2 linked regions of the Stegostoma tigrinum genome follow. The protein of the gene in region 1 purifies or fractionates together with the protein of each later gene. This does not show direct contact. Links are inferred from orthologs where the notes say so. Each region holds a gene or a part of one and is shown on either strand. Other genes may lie near its edges. The genes, in order: cherp and rbm17.

Region 1 (10,233 bases):
TGTATCTGTTGTAACTGTAATCCACTTGTTCCTCTGGCAGTTCATTTCACACACTAATTACTCTGTTTAAAAAAAAGCTGCGTCTTAAGTCCTTTTTAAATCTTTTTTGTCACCTTAAAAGATATGACCCCTAGTTATGAACTCCTCCACCTTAGGGCAAAGACTTTTGCTCTTCACCTTATCTATGCCCCTCCTGATTTTATAAACCTCAACAAAGTCACCCTTCAACCTATGTTCCAGACAAAAAATCCCAGCCTATCCAGCCACACTCTATTACTTAAATCCTCCTTTCCTGGCAACATCCTGTAAATCTGTTCTGAACCCTCTCCAGTCTATTAATATTCTTCCCATAACAGGGTGACCAAACTGCACATAGTCCACCCATCACAAGGTTTACATTTGTGAGAAGAGGCCTCAACAACAACCTGTACAACCTTAACATAAGTTCCAAACTCTTATACCCAAAGGTCCGAGCAATGAAAGCAAGCATGCTAAATGGTTTATTAACTACCTTGTCTACCTTGACACAAATTCCAAAGAATTATGTACCTGAACCCCTAGGTTTCTGTTCCACAACACTACCCAGGGCTCTACAATTAATTGTTTACAATTAATCTACTCTTGCCTGTTAAATGAAATTGCAATACCTCTCATTTATCCAGCTTAATCTCCATCTGCCACTCCTCAACCCATTGATCCAACTGATCAAGACCTCCTAGTACTCTGAGGTAACCTTCTTCGATGCCCACTATAACAGCAATTTGGGTATCACACACAAACGTATTACCTATGTCCTTTATATTCTCGTCTAAAGCACGTACATAAATGATAAAAGTGAACCCAGTACCAAGCCCTGTGGAATGCTGCTGGTCACAGGCCTCTAGACCAAAAAACAACTCTTGAGAACCAGAGATAACAAGGTGTCGAGCTGGATGAACACAGCAGGCTGAGCAGCATCAGAGGAGCAGGAAGGCTGACGTTTCGGGCCTAGACCCTTCTTCAGAAATGGGGGAGGAGAACAGGGTTCTGAAATAAATAGGGAGCAAGGGTGAGGCAGATCGAAGATGGATAAAGGAGAAGATAGGTGGAGAGGAGACAGTCAAGTTAAAGGGGGGGGGATGAAGCCAGTAAAGGTGAGTGTAGGTGGGAAGTTAGGGAGGAGATAAGTCAGTCCACGAAGTTCAGACAGGTCAAGGGGGCAGGATAAGGTTAGTAGGTAGGAGATGGGGGTTGGGCTTGAGGTGGGAGGGGGGATAGGTGGGAGGGAGGTAAGGTTAGGGAGGCAGGGATGAACTGGGCTGGTTTTGGGATGCGGTGGGGGAGGGGAGATTCTGTGGAGTCCACATTGATAGGAACCACTCTTGTCTCCTACTGTAAAGCCAATTTCATAGACAATTATAAGATAATAAAGTGTGAAGCTGGATGAACACAGCAGGCCAAGCAGTATCTCAGGAGCACAAAAGCTGACGTTTCAGGCCTAGATTCTTCATCAGAGAGGGGGACGGGGTGAGGGTTCTGGAATAAATAGGGAGAGAGGGGGAGGCGGACGGAAGATGGAGAGAAAAGAAGATAGGTGGAGAGAAGAGTATAGGTGGGGAGATAGGGAGTGGATAAGACAGTCCAGGGAAGACGGACAGGTCAAGGAGGTGGGATGAGGTTAGTAGGTAGGAAATGGAGGTGCGGCTTGAGGTGGGAGGAAGGGATGGGTGAGAGGAAGAACAGGTTAGGGAGGCAGAGACAGGCTGGGCTGGTTTTGGATTGCAGTGGGGGAGGGGATGAGCTGAGCTGGTTGTGTGATGCAGTGGGGGGAGGGGACGAACTGGGCTGGTTTTGGGATGTGGTGGGGGAAGGGGAGATTTTGAAGCTGGTGAAGTCCACATTGATATCATTGGGCTGCAGGGTTCCCAAGCGAAATATGAGTTGCTATTCCTGCAACCTTCGGGTGGCATCATTGTGGCACTGCAGGAGGCCCATGATGGACATGTCATCTAAAGAATGGGAGGGGGGAGTTAAAATGGTTTGCGACTGAGAGGTGTAGTTGTTTATTGCGAACCAAGCGGAGGTGTTCTGCAAAGCGGTCCCCAAGGCTCCGCTTGGTTTCCCCAATGTAGAGGATGCCACACCGGGTACAATGGATACAGTATACCACACTGGCAGATGTGCAGGTGAACCTCTGCTTAATATGGAAAGTCATCTTGGGGCCTGGGATAGGGGTGAGGGGGAGGTGTGGGGGCAAGCGTAGCACTTCCTGCGGTTGCAGGGGAAGGTGCCAGGTGTGGTGGAGCAAACAAGGGAGTCACGGAGACAGTGGTCTCTCCGGAAAGCAGACAAGGATGGGGATGGAAAAATGTCTTGGGTGGTGGGGTCGGATTGTAGATGGCGGAAGTGTCGGAGGATGACGCATTGTATCCGGAGGTTGGTGGGGTGGTGTGACAGAACGAGGGGGATCCTCTTTGGGCGGTTGTGGCGGGGACTGGGTGTGAGGGATGTGTTGCGGGAAATGCGGATTAACCTGAAATATCAGCTTTGCTTCTTTCTCCAATGTTGTTGCTTGGTCTGGTGAATATTTCCAGTGTCTACAGCATTTTGTTTCTGTGTACATGCTAGCAGTTCATAGGGAAAGTCAGTTTCATAGGGAAAGATGGCAACAGTCATTTTCAACAACTAAGGTAATTTAAGTCCATAAGCAATAGGAGCAGTAGGCTATGCAGTCCATCATGCCTGCCTTGCCATACAGTGAGATTATGGCTGAACTACACCAAGCCTCAAATCTGCTTTCATGCCAGCTCCTATAGCCCTCAACACCTTGAATTTTCAAAAATCTTCCCATGTCTTCAAACGCACTGAGTGACCTAACCTTCACAATGAAAAGATAGAGAATGTCAGACATTCATAATCCTCTGGGAGAAGAAATTCCTACATGCCTCAGTTTCAAAAAAAAAATTGTCATTACAGTCCCTAACTCGAATGAAAAAATCTCAACAGATATCCTATCAAGTCCCTTCAGAATCTTGTACATTTCAACGGGCAACACGGTGGCTCAGTGTTTAGCACTGCTACCTCAAAGCACCAGAGGACCGGGTTCGATTCAACCCTTGGGCGATGTCCATGTGGAGTTTGCACATAGAACATTACAGCACAGTACAGGCCCTTCGGTCCTCGGTGTTGTGCCGACCTGTCATGCTGATCTGAAGCCCATCTAACCTACACTATTCCATATGCTTATCTAATGACGACTTAAATGTACCTAAAATTGGCGAATCTACTACCGTCGCAGGCAAAGCAGGGTTTCCCACAGTCCAAAGATGTGCAGGCTAGGTGGATTGGCGGTGCTAAATTGCCTGTCGTGTTCAGGGATCTGTGGATTGGGTGGGCTATAGGATGATGGGTCTGGATGGGATGCCCCAAGTGACAGTGGGGCCTTGTTTGGCCAAAGAGCCTGTTTCTGTATTGTAGAGTTTCTATTACCTAAGATCACCCTTCATTCTAATGAATAAAGGCCTAAAATGTTTAGCGGTTCACGATAAGTCAATTCCCTCATCCCAGGAAGGAGGCCACTGAATCTTTTTAGCACTGCCTCTAATACTAGTATATCTATTTTTAAATGCAACAACCTAAACTGCACACTGTACTCCAACTGCAGCCTCACCTACACCTATAGAGTTGTAACAGGGGTTTCCTGCTTTTAATATTCAAGCCATAAGCCACAAAGATATACATTCAATTTGCCTTCCTAATTATTTGCTTAATTTGCATGTTAACATTTTGTATTTTGTGAACACAAGTATGTAGATCCCACCATGGTGCATGCATTTTTTTTGGAGTCTCTCTCTCACCATGAAGTAATAACTTGCCTATTGATTCTTCCTATCAAAGTGTACGACCTCACACTTTTCTCCATCAAACTTCATCTGCCAGCATTTTCCCAGTACTGTGAATAGTGCCGTTGAATCTGGCAGACATTCTACGGAGGCCTAATCTCTTAAAGCAACACGTGATTTTTTTCAAGATAATAAAATGTGAGGCTGGATGAACACAGCAGGCCAAGCAGCATCTCAGGAGCACAAAAGCTGACGTTTCGGGCCTAGACCCTTCATCAGAGAGGGGTTTTTTGATTTTTTTTCTCCATGTTCAAGTCTACAGTGATACTTGATGTTGTGATGACACTTTGAACAAAGAATACCTTTTGTCAACAGGTATCAAACCACTACTCTTGACCAGTTTTGTTACTGTAAAGCAAATTTTCCCCATCCAAAGAATTCCTGTGCTATCCGAGAAACCCAGCTACATTAATACTTTCAGTGCAACAGCATAGGTTAAGTTTGAGTAAGTATGATATTTCTGAAAATTATGTAAACATCTGTATCGGTGAAAGTTAGATTAAAGCTGAAGAAATAAGGCAGAGTGTCAAGTCCTCTACACCTTTATTTTCTTGAAGGAGGGTCACATTTTGTAGATTACAAAACAAAATTTCAGAACGCTGAAGCAATGAAAACTTTGCTCAAGAAAAATAAAACTAATCAGAAGATATTATTTTATAGCTTAGTGGGCCGGTCAATCTAGAAGGCTGTGAAACGGTTCAATAAGTCACACCATTGTTTTCATAGGGTGGGGGGAAAACAGGAGTTTTACGTTTAACAGATGTGCCCAAAGAGCCATTCTGAAGCCAACACTGAAGCTTCCGTTCGATTGTCAGGCTAGGTAACAAGCCCTAAGGCCCCATAGCCGCTTTCCCTTCTCCATTGAGGAGTTTTTTTAATAGCCAAGGCCCCCCCAACCAGAACTGTCTGCGCATGCGCAGCTGCCGCCAAGTGACATTCCATGCAAGCGCAGAACCGAGATTGGCGGGCACGCATGCTCGGAGCGGACTAGGGCCCAGATCAGGCCATAGCGGCGCAAGGAAAGGGCCCGTATGTTCCCACACAATAATTTTAATAAAAGACACTTCCCCGCCCAAGTTCGGTTCCAAAGGGGTACATTCCGGCACTCACCCTCAGGAGGCACCGGTATATCCATCGCGGAGGATTTCTCACTGTCCGCACTTCCAGATATAACACTTAAATGTTCATATCACAAATTCAGCACTCCCTCTCCAACGGCAGGCGTCTTCGACCGGAAGGAAAACTGACCGACGGCAGGAATGCACGACAGTGGGTGTGGTTTACACCGCGCCTGCGAACTGTCGGTGAAGGGCGGTCGCGGCGGCCATCTTTGTACGGTGCCAGGCGGCGGCGTGGCTCAGCGGTTAGTGCCAGCGACAAAAACAAAGTTGCTGGAAAAGCTCAGCAGGTCTGGCAGCATCTGTGAAGGAAGAAGACAGAGTTAACGTTTCGGATCTGGTGACCCTTCCTCAGAACTGTGCCAGAGGCCCGGGTTCAATTCCAACCTCTGGAAGCTGCGTGGAGTTTGCACATTCTCCCCGTGGGTTTCCTCCCACAGCCCAAAGATGTCTGGGTTGGGTGGATTAGCCATGGGAAATGTAGGGTTACATGGTTAGGGCGGGATGCTGTTTGGAGGGTTTTTGAGGATTCTAAGGGTCGAATGGCCTGCTTCCACATTGTCGGGGTTCTACCTTTAAATGCTGAGCAGAGATAATGGGAACTGCAGATGCGGGTTGAAGGGTCTAGGCCCGAAACATCAGCTTTTGTGCTCCTGAGATGCTGCTTGGCCTGCTGTGTTCATCCAGCTTCACACTTTGTTATCTACGTTTAAATGCTGTCTGTCTAAAGATGAGTCTGACCCACAGCAGTACCGATCAGCCTGGGGTTTAGTGATGCGTACACCCAGTACATCTCAACTAGAACCGGTACTGAACACCATGCCGTTGGCTCCAGACTGTAGCCTGGTGCTCCCCAACACTGAGTCCAAGTTATTTCTGGCAAACACACTTTTTAAATCAAAAGAAACTGAAGAACTTCAGAGAACCTTTGAGGAACGTTCTGAAGCAGGGTCAGTGGACCCGAAATGTTAACTCTGTTTTCTCCTCCACAGATGCTGCCAGACCTGCTGAGCTTTTCCAGCAACTTTGTTTTTGTTCCTGATTTACAGCATCGCAGTTCTTTTGGTTCTTATGAAGAACTGCAGATGCTGGCAATCAGAAACAAAAAAAGAAATTGCTGGGAAAAACTCAGCAGCTCTGGCACCATCGGTGAAGAGAAAACAGAATTAATATTTTAAATCCAGTGACTGTTCTCCTGCACTCCAATTCTGAAAAAGGTTTACTAAACTTGAAACATTAACACAATTTTACTCGCATGTGGCAGCTGGATGTTTGAGTAGTAGTTACAATATCTTTCATCAAAATGCTAGGAAGGAATCTTTCCAGCAGTTATGGCTTGCCATTGGTGTGTGCTGGAAAGATTTACAAGTTAGTTCTCAATCTGTTTGGCCACTTTCCAAACATATCTTCCTTGTTCATTGAGTCTGGAGTGTGACTCAAACCTGGAGTTTCAGGCTCCGAGACAGGGATTCTACCTACTAATAGGCCACCTCTACATTGGTGAGACCAAGATGAGGCTCAGAGATAGCTTAGATAGGTAGAGTACCTGCACTCTGTTTGTGACAATCAACAACATCTTCCAGCTGCAAACCACTTCAGTTCCCACTCCCTGGATGACATGTCCATCCCGGACCTCCTCAAGTGTCACAATGATGCCACTGGAAACTGGAGGAGCAGTGCCTGTTCTGCCTCATGACCCTACAGCCCAATGCTCTCAACGTGGACTTTACTGGTTTCAAAATCTCCTCATCCCATGACCAACCCTCCCTCTCATCCCCCACCTCCTTGACCTGACGCAACCTGTCCACCTTCTCTGCCACATATCCGCTCCTCCTACCTCACTGACCAATCCCCTATCTGCACTCACCTATCACCATCACACTTACCTTCCCCAGCCCCACCCATCCTCTATTTATTTCAGAGCTCCCTTCCCCCATTTCTGAAGAAGGGTCCTGACCTGAAATATCAACTTTCCTGCTTCTCTGGTGCTGCCTGGCCTGCTATGTTCCTCCAGCTCCACACAGCGTTGGTCTCTCCCCTCATTGAGGATATGATATTTGTGGAGCTTCCTCTTCCAGTAAACTGTTAAAATATCCACTAGTATTAATGACTGGATGTGCAGGACTATGGAACTTGGACCTGGTCCATTGGTTGTGAAATCATGTACCCTGGTCTATCTTTTGCTGTTAATGTGTTTGGCACACAAATAGTCCTGTTTGGTAGCTTCACCACGTTGATACCTCATTTTAAGTATGCCTGGTGCTGTTCCTGATATTCCTACCTACACTCTTCATTGAGCTATAGTTAACATATAAAGAGAGACTGGATTAATTGGGACTGTATTCAGTGGAGTTTAGCACAATGAAGGGAATTTCATGCAATTTTATACATTTATATCAGATTTGGATTGGGTAAATACGGGATGGATGTTCCTGATGACCAGACAGTGTCGAACCAGGGATCACAGTTTAAGGATCTGGAGTAGACCATTTAGGACTGAGGTAAGGCAAAGTTTCTACACTCTGGTAAGCCAGTGAAATTCTCTGCTGGTTGGAAACAAATGAAGCCAAAACATTGAATGTTTTCAAGAAACAGTTAAATGTGATTCTTAGGGCTGAAGACATCAAATATTAAGGGGAGAAAGCAGGAGCAAGGTACTGAGTTGGATGATCAGCCATTATCATATTGAATGGCAGAGCAAGCTGAAAGGCACAAATGGCCTACCTCTGCTCCTGTTTTGAATGTTTCTATAACTCCCTGGCTTAATGTTGGTATTAGAGTGGGGGATATGTTGAACCATGATGTTGCAGATTATGTTGGAGTAATTGTAGATGCCCAGTTTAGCTAGATTTGTTTGAAATCTATACCATTTAGCATGGTGATAGTACTGCCTAACATGGTGAAGGATATTCTCAATGTGAAGAAGGGACTTTATCTCCAGTAATACTATGCAGTGGCCACTCTTATCAATACTATCATAGATACATGCATGTGCAGTAGTTAGATTGGTGAGGTTGAGGTCAAATGTGGGTTTTTTCCCCCCTTGTTGGCTCCTTCACCACCTTCTGTAGACCCACTCTAGCAGCTATGTCCTTTAGAACTTGACCAGCATAGTTGATAATGGTGCTGCCAATTCACCCAGATTACATTGTTTGACCTTGCTATCCTCAGGACTCCAGGTTGTGTTTACCATGGAGAAATACTGATTCATCAGGTGAGAGACATTAAAGGGTCCAGGATTTCAGGCAGAAGCATGAAGAAAAATGTTGTGTGGATACAGAGGTAACTTTATGAAAAGAATACAAACCAATATTTATGTAGGAACCTAACAACCTTGCATTTCCTTTGTCTCTCAATGTTGTAACTTCCTAATTCCACTCTTCCAATTGTTGAAACTTTCACTCAGGAAATCTTCCCTGTTATCACTAGCTTCTAAATTATAGAATTGGTGCAACACCGTAGGAGGCATTTCTCTCAGGTTTCTGCCTGTATCTGCCTCTTCCACCTATTGATACAAAACCAAAAACTGCATGCTGAAAATTTGAAGTAAGAACAGAAAATGATGGCAAACTCAGCATCTGTGAAGAGAAACAGAGTTACCAGTCCAGGTCGATGACCTTCCATCCTTTCACTGGGGTTTTTAGTTTGTATTCCATCTATTGCTGCAACCCCATATTTCATATGTTTGTATTCCAGTATTCAAATACCTGTTTGCCAAATGGCAACCCCTCCCCACAATATTTCTATTTGCAGTTGCCACTCATCCCCTATGAGTAATATCCTAATATCTGATAGGCTGTCCTGAACTCACACATATGCAAAATAGGTGTGGTGGCAGGCAGTCCAGCCCCTCAAGTATGGCAGATTTTAATGTTTTAAATTTTACATTCAAATGTATGCCTGATAAGTTTTGATTTTTCCTTGCTTAACAAGAATCTATCTGCCTTTGCCTTAAAAAATTCAATGATCCACTTCCACTACCTTCTGAAGCAGAGAGTTTCAAAGTCTTACAACTCTGACAAAATAAATCAACTTCATCTCTGATCTAAAAGGACAATCCCTAATTTTGAAACAGTGCCTGTTGGCTCTGGGCTCACCCACAAGGGAATATGTCCTTTCCGCATCAGCCTTGACAAGGCCATTCAGGATCTTAGTTCAATCAAGTCACCCCGACTCTTTGAACTGGTGTGGTGACGCAGCGGCTCAATGGTTAGCACTGCTGCTTTACAGCACCAGGGTCCCAGGCTTGATTCCATCTTCGAGTGACTATCTGTGTGGATTTTGCACATTTCTTCCAGTGTCTGTGTGGGTTTCCTCCGGGTGCTCTGGTTTCCTGCCGCGGTCCAAAGATGTACAAGTTAGGTGGATTGGCCATGGGAAATGCAGGGTTACAGGGATAGGGTAAGAGGGTGGGCCTGGGTAGAATAATCTTTAGAGGGTCGGTGTGGACTTGATGGGCCATTTGGCGTCTTCCACATTGTAGGAATTCTATGAAGCCAGCCCAGCCTGTCTAACAAATCCTCACAAGACAACTTACTCATCAGATATCAAACTAATAAACTGCCTCTGAACCACCTCCATTACATTTACAACCTTCCTGACACTGGGGACCAAAACTACCCATTGTATTCAAGATGTGGCCTCAACAACACTCTGTATAACTGAAGCATAATATCCTTAATTTTATACTCATTCCCTCTCATGGGAAAGGTTAACCTAACATTAGACTTCTTGATTTCATGCTTTCCTGACATACTAACTCAGTGAAGTATGTCTTGTGGGTCTACCTACAGCACATGGACTGCAGTGGCTCAAGAAAGCAGCTCAGCACCATCTTCTCAAGGGCAACTAGGGATAGGCAATAAATGCTGGTCAGCCAGCAATGCCCATGCCCCACAAGTAAATAAACAAAACGGGCGAGACTACCCAGATCCCTCCCTACCTTAGAAATCTGTAGCTGTTCTCCATTTAAATAATGCTTAGTTTTTTACATTCTTCCTGCAAAAGTGAATGATGACTTTTTTTTAACACATTATACTCATCCACCAAGACTTTTTCCACTCACTTAACCTATCTGTATCTAGCTTCAAGATCCATATGTCTTCTTCACAACAGACTTTCTGGTGTCATTTGTGACATTAGCCACCATGCCTCTGGTCCCCTAATTTAACTGATTGAAATAAGCTGTAAAATGTTGGAGACCCAATTGAGTCCCTTGCAGGATTTGTGCAAAT
Region 2 (10,621 bases), on another chromosome or scaffold:
ATGTTCAAAACCAATAAAAAAACATAACTCATCAAATCCTAAAGAGTCTTACCTTTAAGCCAGATGCTATATGAGGTGGTGTGTCAACGATCTGCCTGTCATCCCCAGAGGTGCCTCGTTTGAGGTCTATAACTGGAGCTAAAACTGTGCTCTGCTTTGAGCGCTGGGTCTAGAAGCAATCGCAGACATGAATTAGAACCAGTGTCAACTTCTACCAAAAGAACAAAGTCTTCCAACTGAAAAGATAGTAAACTCAAAAAGGAAATAAGTCTTTAATAAATCATCCCACCACAATACATTAACAGTAACATATCTCCAGCTGATAAACATTATCAGAAACAGAAGTTCATAGACGATAAACTGTGTGAGTAATCAGTAAGTGATAAAAGTTATTCAGACTTGTTTATCATAATTAGATCATTTTTCTTTTTAAAAATAATTTTTATCCTCTTCACCCTTCAATGGTATTTGCACCTTGCTTCCGCATAAAAGGGGGGAGCAGGGGGACTAGCCAATATTTCCAATCATTATCCATCTTCCAGGAACAGAAACAAACTGATCATTAACTTTTCCTTCATCTCAAGTGCTGGATGAAGATCAGGCACCAGCAAAGACTAGAAGCATCGTAAGCCAAAACACACAGCCTTCAGTTCTCAGGGTCATTTCACCTGAGCTCACCGAGTGTTGAGTGGGCATTAGTAACAAGAGAAGGACAAAGAATCCACAATGGATTGCAGTACATTTTACGAGAAGATCTCAAAAGCTGAATGCAGGAGAAGTTCTCTGCTCACACCAACACCGAATGGTTGAAGAAGGTACCTCTGACGGAGCTTGCCCAACAGTTGACCTTCCCGTATGAAAATGTGACCGAGTTTCCATTATACTGTACTTCGAGCCTGGCTTGTAAATAAAGAGGTGAAAAATAAGAAGTATTACCTTCGCTTGTGTAAGCGTAGCTTTCTTCACCTGCAGCTGAGACTGAAGGAGTTTGAAATTTTTTGACCAGCCCTCTGTCTTTGAGTCGCTGGTCTCAACCCCCAAATCATCGTACAGGGACATTTCACCTTCCCTTCACGGCTGCAATGAACAGGAAATAAAATCACACTTGCATAAAGTGACAAATTCATCAAGTAAGTAACTCCAAACCTTCAGAGTTTTTTTTAAAGCAACATTTCAGCATTCAGACAACATTTCACATTCTACTCCTCTCCTACAAATTCGAGTGATCCTTCTGAGGCCCCAGAGAAAGGAAGAGTTTATTTATGGTTAACATTTACTTGTGTGAAAAAAAACAATGCAAACCAGCAGGAGTCAATTCACTACTGAGTGGTCTGGGGGAGAAAAGCAGAAACAGATGAGAACATGAAGGAAAAATAATACATTTGTTGTAAATCTGAAAAAAAACAAAGCCTCAGAAGCACCAAGCAAATTAATGTAATTGATCAAACAAACAAAAGTTGACTGTGGTTTTAGCAACAATCTGAACTAAAATACATTACCAATAAAAAAAATTAGAAGGAACATCACAATAAAGAAAAGGGAAGGGAGAGAAAATGCCATGAGCGTAAATGCAGAATAACACAGGATTTGTAACTGTGGGAATCAGAAAATGATTAAAGTTTAGAAACGAGGTGTGCATGCAACCACAGAAACACAGAGAATTGGAAGAGTTAATGGGTGAAATCAATAAGTGGAATGGGAGGTACTTGCCTCCGGTCACAAAGTCTTGGATTCAAGGCCCTTCTAAAACCACATCACCCAGACAGATAATTCTCTACACTACTTAATAACTGTATTCAAAGTGATAAAAACTACAAGTATCAGTTGATTTAATTTCAATCATTTTCAGATGTGGCTAACAGGTTGTGCAATTTAAGACTAAATATATAAAGAAAGGTTCAGTGATCTCCCAGTGGGTAAATTGTTTTATATTCAAAGCAGCCACACAGAAGAAAAAGAGTTAGTGAGGCTGGCAATATTGAAGAGTTTGAGGAACAGGAAGTAGACTGATAGGGATTTAAAATGTCATCCAAAGAGTCAATGTGGTGCCTCAAGCCCCTACAGTCTGCCCACAACATAACAGGTCCTCAGAAGATGCCCTAGCCCTGCACTCTTCCTGGAGCATTTAGACATCAAAGACACCTATGTCAGACTCCTGCTCATGGACCACAGGTCTGCCTTCAACATCATTATCCCCTCCAGGCTGATCTCAAAATTCCATGACATTGATCTTGGCTCCTCTGCAACTGGGTCCTCAGCTTTCTGACCCATAGGCTGCAATCAGTGAGGATGGCTAACTCCTTCGCAATAACACTCAACACTGGAACCCTGCCCACCCCCACCAAGGATCCATCTTCAGCCCCCTACTGTACTCCCTGTACACCTACACTGTGTTGCCAAATTCGGAACGAACGCTATCTATAAGTTCGCTGACAACACCACCATAGTGGGACAGATATCTAACAACAATGGGTCAAAGTACGGAAGGGAAATGGAGGACTTGGTGAAGAGGTGCAATGAAAATAATCTGTCTCTCAATATCGACAAGACTAAAGAAGTGATTATGGACTTCAGAAAGAAAGGAGAACACGCCCCCACCTACATCAACAGAACTGAGGTTGAGAGAGGGAACAGCATCAAGTTTGTCGGAGAGATGATAACCAACAACCTGTCCTGGATTTCCCACACAGATGCAACAGTCAAGAAGGGTCAACCTGGTAATGATCTCCTACAACCTCTTCCATGAGGCAGAAGATACAGAAACCTCAACACACACACAAGCAGGTTCAGAAACAGCTTTTTTCTGTAGGAGGAGTAGGATATGAAATGTGGCTTTAGAAAAGAACTGTGAAAGTGATGAATGGACTCTACCCTCCAACAATGTAACCTGTATGTCTCCAAGTCTTTTTCATCTGTACCCCCTTTGCTTGCTGTGAGCTTCCTTTACCGCTCGTAAACAAAGCTTCTCACAATATTTCATGACACCTGACAATAAAACCAATCAATCAAAAAGCAAACGAGGGAGGGACTAGGGATGATGGGGGGTATCGATAAAGGCGGGAGAAATCAATGGAGGGAGGGGGAGGGGAGAATCAATGAGAGGCAAGAGGGATCAATGAGAGGCAAGGGGGTACAATGAGGGGGAATCGGGGGGGGGGATGAGGGGGAATCGGGGGGGGGGATGAGGGGGAGTCGGGGGGGGGGATGAGGGGGAATCGGGGGGGGGGGGATGAGGGGGAATCGGGGGGGGGGGGGATGAGGGGGAATCGGGGGGGGGGGGGATGAGGGGGAATCGGGGGGGGGGGGGGGATGAGGGGGAATCGGGGGGGGGGGGGGATGAGGGGGAATCGGGGGGGGGGGGATGAGGGGGAATCGGGGGGGGGGGGGATGAGGGGGAATCGGGGGGGGGGGGGATGAGGGGGAATCGGGGGGGGGGGGGATGAGGGGGAATCGGGGGGGGGGGGATGAGGGGGATGAGGGGGGGGGGGGATGAGGGGGAATCGGGGGGGGGGGGATGAGGGGGAATCGGGGGGGGGGGGATGAGGGGGAATCGGGGGGGGGGGATGAGGGGGAATCGGGGGGGGGGGGATGAGGGGGAATCGGGGGGGGGGGGGGATGAGGGGGAATCGGGGGGGGGGGGATGAGGGGGAATCGGGGGGGGGGGGATGAGGGGGAATCGGGGGGGGGGGGGATGAGGGGGAATCGGGGGGGGGGGGGATGAGGGGGAATCGGGGGGGGGGGGATGAGGGGGAATCGGGGGGGGGGGGGATGAGGGGGAATCGGGGGGGGGGATGAGGGGGAATCGGGGGGGGGGGATGAGGGGGAATCGGGGGGGGGGGATGAGGGGGAATCGGGGGGGGGGGATGAGGGGGAATCGGGGGGGGGGGATGAGGGGGAATCGGGGGGGGGGGGATGAGGGGGAATCGGGGGGGGGGGATGAGGGGGAATCGGGGGGGGGGGGATGAGGGGGAATCGGGGGGGGGGGATGAGGGGGAATCGGGGGGGGGGGGATGAGGGGGAATCGGGGGGGGGGGGATGAGGGGGAATCGGGGGGGGGGGGATGAGGGGGAATCGGGGGGGGGGGATGAGGGGGAATCGGGGGGGGGGGGATGAGGGGGAATCGGGGGGGGGGGGATGAGGGGGAATCGGGGGGGGGGATGAGGGGGAATCGGGGGGGGGATGAGGGGGAATCGGGGGGGGGGATGAGGGGGAATCGGGGGGGGGGATGAGGGGGAATCGGGGGGGGGGGATGAGGGGGAATCGGGGGGGGGGTGAGGGGGAATCGGGGGGGGGGTGAGGGGGAATCGGGGGGGGGAATCGAGACCGGGGGGGGCGTAATTTGAAGATAAATATTAAGGTGACGATGGCGGGAGGTGGGGGGGGGGGGGCTCCAGTCTGACGCGGGGCCGCGCTGAGGCCTAAATCCTCGGCGTCAATTTCAGCAGCTCCCCCCTCCCTCCCTCCGGGCCGCGCGCTACCCCTCACCGGTTCCTGCTGCCGCCCCCTCTGTCTCTGTCTCTGTCTCTGTCCCCCCGAGGGGGAGGGGGGTAAGGTGTGGGGGTTGGGGGGGGGGGGGGGTGCGGGTTGTTGTTGTCCTTTCGCCCCGCGAGGCCCTGAGCGCGGCGGCTGCTCACCGGAAGCTTGGGCCCAGGGTCCATCCACATCGCGGCTCCGGGGGGAAACACGGAGCGGCCCCGCCGCAGAAACGGTCCCTCCCCCGCCGCACACAACAATAAACCGAAAGCTGCAGCTGTCCGCCCGCAAACCCACTGTGTTCACCCTCGGGTTACAGTTTTTTAAAATTTTATCCCTTTAAAATATATTTACACATCCACCACACCCCCACCTCAATTACACGCACACACGCTGGAGACAGTCCATCTATCCACTTGGTCAGTCAGTGCACCTGGCAATTCGACTGCAGCAAGCATCACGGTCAAGTCTGCCTTCAGCCTCGCATCTGTCCTTGAGCATTAGATCCACCGTTTGAATGGAGTACCATTTCAAGTGGTCATTCACGTACTTCTTTTTTAAAAAACTTAACCAGAATTGCTCTTACATACAGCTGAATGTTTTGTTTTCCCCGTCACCAACTCGCCCATGGCCCAAGTGATTTTTAAAGGCTGTGAGAATTACCTGCTTCTTCATCATTTACCTACTGCCAAACTCCTGCTTTCTCCTCACACCCTTGACAGGTAACATGCAAGAATGGAAACTGTGCCAACTTTGTGTTCTTCACTTGAAAGTCTTGCAACTTGATAAGGAATGTTTTTGTGAGCCGCAGCAGAAGGTCCTGAAACAGTTTACAGCCAGTTATGCATTTTTTATGAAGGAAAGGGCAGTCATTGTTGTATTGGACACTAGCAAGGTCCCATAGATAGACAGGAAAGTCTGATTTAGTTGCACAGCTTTAGGGATCAATGTTGGTTTGAACGACAGGAAAATCTCTCCTGCTGTTCTTTTAAATGATGCCATGGGATCTTGTACAATCACCTGAGAGGGGTAAAAAAACAGGCCGCGAGCACCTCACGAACTGCGACAGTGCAGCTTTCCCTCAGTACTGCACCAGAGGCCAGTTGATTGTGGTTAAGCCCCAACTTTGACACAGAAACAGAAGCGCTGTCACTGAGCCACAATGGGTCAACTGTTCTTTGGGAGTTGATCAATGAGTGACTCCGGACACACCGACTGTCTCACTCACTTTTCAAGTGCAGCATGGCAGCTCAGCGGTTAGCACTGCTGCCTCACAGCGCCAGGGACCTGGGTTTCAATTGTACCCTCAGGCAACTGCCTGTGTGAAGGCTTGCACATTCTCCCTGTGTCTGTATGGGTTTCCTCACACAACCTGAAGATAGGCAGGCTAGGCCAGTTAGCCATGGAAAATGCAGGGTTATAAGGTGGTTTGGGTGGGATGCCCTTTAGAGGGGCAGTCTGAACTTGATGGACCAAATGGCCTGCTTCCGCACTGTAGGGTTTCTATGATTTCTGTGAAGTATCATGCCTAAGGAGGGTATTGATAATCATGGACCTCCATCAGATTAGTCCATGTTGCAGACTGATAATCACCCTGTGGACTGTATTACGGTACCCTTCCATGGCCATCGGGACCTGAACTCAGAGCTTTACCTGCTGTACTACAAAACCTCCCCCTCGGGACTCTAAAATTTTAAAAATAAATTAGTATCAATGTTTGGGGAAGTGTTTGAAGTGAGATATTTCGAGGTGAAAAGGGCAGTGAAAGTCCATTGAAACAAATGAGCCGTATTATTTTGCGAGGTATTATCAAAGCAGATCAAATAGAAAATGAAACATGGTCAAATTGGGAAAATTATAATTTACAACAAAACAGCATTTATGATTTATTTATACTCATTCACAGGATGTGGGCATCACTGGCTAGGCAGCATTTATTGCCCATCCCTAATTGCCCAGAGGGCAGTTAAAAGCCAACCACATTGCTGTGGGTCTGGAGTCACATATAGGCCAGAGCAGTTTCCATTAGTGAACCAGATGGACTTTTCTGACGATCAGCGATGGATTCATGGTCGTCGTTAGACATTTAATTCCAGATTTTTATTGAATTCAAATTCCACTGTGTGCCTTGACAAATTTTGAAGCCAGGCCCCCAGAACAATTACCTGGGTCTCCAAATGAATGGTCTCACGATAACACCACTGGGCCGCTGCATCCCCAAAGCAAAAATGAGAAAAAGCGAGCAAAATCCTGGCCCGGACTTGTAAAGTAGGTGGAACTTTAAGTGTGAGTTTTAGGTTGTGTTGGGACTGTTGTGTTGTCTGAACAGGGGTGGCGGCACCATGGGGAGCTTGGCCGCTGCTGCGAGATGTTTCAGGAAAATGAGAAGAGCCCCCTCCACCCGGCTTTTCCAGGGGGCAGGCACCACGGGAAATGTATCGGTTATTTATACACCAGGCCGCTGGGCCAGTGAAAGAGCTCAATGTGATAAACTGACTGTCAGAACTCAGAAGGATGGGATCAGGTTGGTGGGGGCATGGACTGACCCAGACGCTACCCACTAGAAATTACACAGGTTCAGGGCACTGTTCTTCTTCGGGTAAATTGGGATGGGGTTGGCAATACTAGCCTTCTGCAGAGCTGGGAAAGCAGTGGCCCGGTGGTATCATCGCTGGACTGTCAATCCAGAGACCTCTGCGAATGCCCTGGGGACTCAGGTTCGAATCCCGCCCGGGGAGGATGGTGGAACAGTACAAAAAGAAAACATCTGACCCTGAACTCGTCGCTGCTGATCCCATCTGGTTCACCAATATCCTTCGGGGACGGAAACTGCCATCCTGTGGCTCCTGGCACACTGTTATGTGGTTGGCCCTCAGCTACCCCGTGGGCAGTTAGGGAGGGGCAATAAATGCTGCCCTCACCGGAAATGCCCCCGTTCAGGGAATAACAAACACAGGGGGCCAATCCAGTTACGAAAGACTTGAGCAGTAGTTTGTGGGAGGTGTTCAAATGCAAAGTCAAAGAGGCTGCTTTCCTAAATGGACAACAAAACAGAGATATTTAAGATTTGCCAAGGGCGTAACAAACAGGAATAGGCCGTTCGGCCCCTCAAGCCTGCTCCATTCAATAAGATCATGGCCGATCCAACACTCCTCACATTCACTCTCCTGCATTTTCCCCATAAACTTTGACTCCTCAACTGGCCAAGAACTTATTCGGCCTTGAATATACACAAGGACTCCATCCTCGCAGCTTCATGTTGGCAAGAAGTCCCAAAGACTCACAACCCTTTGAGAGAAGAAATTCCTCTTCATCTCAGTCTCAAATTGCCAACCGTTCATTCTGAGGGGATACTGTGTGAACCCAGACTCTCCCATGATGGAAAACATCCTCTAAGCATTTACCCTGTTGAGCCCCTGAAGAAACCTGTATGTTTCAATGGGGTGTCACCTTTCTCCTCTCTCAATTTCAGTGAGTACAGGCCCAACCTACTGAACGTCGCCTCATAAAGCAGTCCCTCCCTTCCTGGTATCTCTGGGCTGCCTCCATTGTCAGTGTGTCTCTAGAAAATAGTTTGTCTCCTGTCTAGGTCCATCGTTCTGAATAACCCACAGAAGAGGAATGCTCTGTCGCTGGCCATGTTGGAATCTCTGCGCACCAACCTCCTCCACGAAGCAGAAAGCAATGACCTGCGCGTTATTGTCATATCAGGTAATTCCAGCATGGGTTTTAACATTTAACACACCTACTTAGATCATGGGGTAAAGTAAAACGAAGCTAGGGAAATGAGACTGATGGCACGGTGGCTCAGTGCTTAGCACTGCTGCCTCACAGCGCCAGGGACCCGGGTTCGATTCCAGCCTCGGGCGACTGTCTGTGCGGAGTTTGCACATTCTCCCCGTGTCTGCGTGGGTTTCCTCCGGGTGCTCCGGTTTCCTCCCACAGTCCAAAGATGTGCGGGCTAGGTGGATCGGCCATGGGAAATTGGTCATAGCATACAGTAGACATAGATTCTACATGGGAAATGCAGGGTAGATCTGGGTGAGATACTGTTTGGAGGGTTGGTGTGGACTTGATGGGCTGAGTGGCCTGCTTGCACGCAGTAGGGATACTATGAATGCTCTCTTTGTACCTTTAAAAAGTACTTGGATGAGCACTGGAAATGTCGTCACATTCAGGGCTGTGGGGCTAGTGTTGTACTGGTGATATTTTTGACAGTACAGATTCTATGGGCCGAAGGCCTCTGCGATTCTACGATTCTACTGGCTTAGATGATCCCATGTAGTGCACTAATTGAGGCGTTATAAATCACTCTGGGAGATATAGTGGCAAATTAGTGAGTGCTCACTCCAGCTCCTGGTTTCTGTCTTCTGCATTGATTCAGGGTTTAGGTAAGCTCGGGAGCAGGCTGTGGGCTGGAACATGCAAAGGAGACAACTGTCAAACCTCACACAGGAAACCTGGGACAACCACCAGCGGGAGGGGGGAGTATAGCTGCAGCAAAACCATATCCCAGGAAAAAGTTAGCTTCTCCAGAGAGAAGAAACAGGGTAAAAATCACGCGGGGAACTGAATTATGAGTAACATACAACTTAGGAGCATATGTAGGCCATTCAGACCCTAAATCCGACACTACTGTTCAATAAGACCGTGGCTGATCTGTTCCACATTCCCAACTATCCCCAATAACCCCCGATTCATCTGCCTAACAAGAATGTCTTTAGAAACACTGAAAGAACTGTGGATGCTGGAAATCAGAAATTGCTGGAGGTCTGGCAGCACCTGTGGAGAGAAAGCAGAGTTAACGTTTCGAATCCAGTAACCCTCAGAACCAATCTGAATCTGTCTACCTTGTCTTTCAAAATATTCAATTAACCCCATCCACTGCCTTCCAAGGCAGAGGGTTCTAATGGTGGACAACACTGAGAAAAAAAGATATCTCTTCAGCTCTGACCTGAAAAAGGTGATCCTAATTTTAAAGCAGCACCTCTGGCTTCTGGTCTCCTTTCCACGAACACCCATCACGACCTTCCAGGATTTTGTACATATCATTCAAGTCACCTGCTACTTTCGTAAAACCACTAGAAACAAAAGCAGCCCTGTCTCTATTTGTCAGAAAACAATCCGCTCCTTCCAATAAGTTTCCTTTGATCAGCCTCCACTTTATTTCCATCTTTCTTTACATAAAGAGACAAAAACCATGCACAGTTTGGAGAGGCGGCCTCACCGAAGCCTTTGTACAACTGGGTCTGTCAGGTAACCGTACCTCAGGAGGGAGAGCTAGATGGAATGAGTACCCCTGCTACTGACCCCGTTTAGCGATCAAAGGGCTACTTCACCCAAGCTCTGGGCCTTCCTGCCTCCTCTACAACCCCACGTTCCACCTCCCCCATCTCCAGGTTTAAATAGCCAAGGGATGTCCCTGATTAGTGGGAAAGCGATCACCACCGACTTCTCTGCTGCTAGGGTAGGAGACAGAGCCAGCAGAAACATTCTGGCTATGTCTTTGGTTCAACAGTCCAGTAAACAAGGGTTTGATGGACTGAATGGCCTCTGTCATCTGTAAACTTCTGTGAAAAACATCTCGGCTCTCTCTCAAGCTGTCTCCGTCTCTCGCCGTGTTACAAAATTGTTCTGGTGCAGAAGTGGCCATCTCACCCATTATGTATGTACCAGCTCTCTCAGCATTTTAACTTAGTGCCAAAGTCCCAACTCTGCCCCCTCTCTCCCTTTCTTACTTTCTGTCTCTCTCTCCTTCTCCCTCTCTGACTCTCTCTCCCACTCTCACTGTGTCTCTCTCTCTCCTTCTCCTTCTCTGTCTCTTTCTCCTACTCTCACTGCTTCTCTCTCTTTCCCTCACTCTCTCTGACTCTGTCTGTTCACTCTCACTGTGTCTCTCTTTCTCTCCTTCTCCCTCTCTGTCCCTTTCTCCCACTCTCAATGCTTCTCTCTTTCCCTCGCTCTCTCTGAGTCTCTCTCTCCCATCCTCACTGTGTGTGTCTCTCTTGCTCTCTCTCTCTCTCTCTCTCTCTCTCTCTCTCCTTCTTCCTCTCCGGCTTTCTGAATCTCCCTTCCACTGTCTCTCTCCTTCACTCTCTCTGTCACTTACATTCTCTCGCTCTGTCTCTTTCCCACTCCCTCTCTAAAT

The links.
Region 2: the proteins of cherp (region 1) and rbm17 purify together in Homo sapiens (co-immunoprecipitation; 4 studies listed by BioGRID and IntAct, counting the BioPlex papers as one, with this or other methods). This does not show direct contact. The link is inferred for Stegostoma tigrinum from reciprocal best matches to the Homo sapiens genes CHERP and RBM17.

The regions. Positions count from the first base shown.
Region 1 is NC_081383.1:43,535,569-43,545,801, forward strand, and holds the start of cherp (calcium homeostasis endoplasmic reticulum protein), read right to left. Parts: upstream 5,108-10,233; 5' UTR 5,017-5,107; coding exon 4,992-5,016; intron 1-4,991. UniProt on the Homo sapiens protein: Involved in calcium homeostasis, growth and proliferation.
Region 2 is NC_081378.1:5,884,305-5,894,925, reverse strand, and holds the start of rbm17 (splicing factor 45), read right to left. Parts: upstream 4,729-10,621; 5' UTR 4,635-4,728; intron 4,615-4,634; exon of another isoform or gene 4,486-4,614; intron 1,078-4,485; 5' UTR 1,060-1,077; coding exon 937-1,059; intron 170-936; coding exon 53-169; intron 1-52. Other genes in the region: echdc3 (enoyl-CoA hydratase domain-containing protein 3, mitochondrial), read left to right, coding at 6,816-6,997, 8,063-8,184. UniProt on the Homo sapiens protein: Splice factor that binds to the single-stranded 3'AG at the exon/intron border and promotes its utilization in the second catalytic step. Involved in the regulation of alternative splicing and the utilization of cryptic splice sites.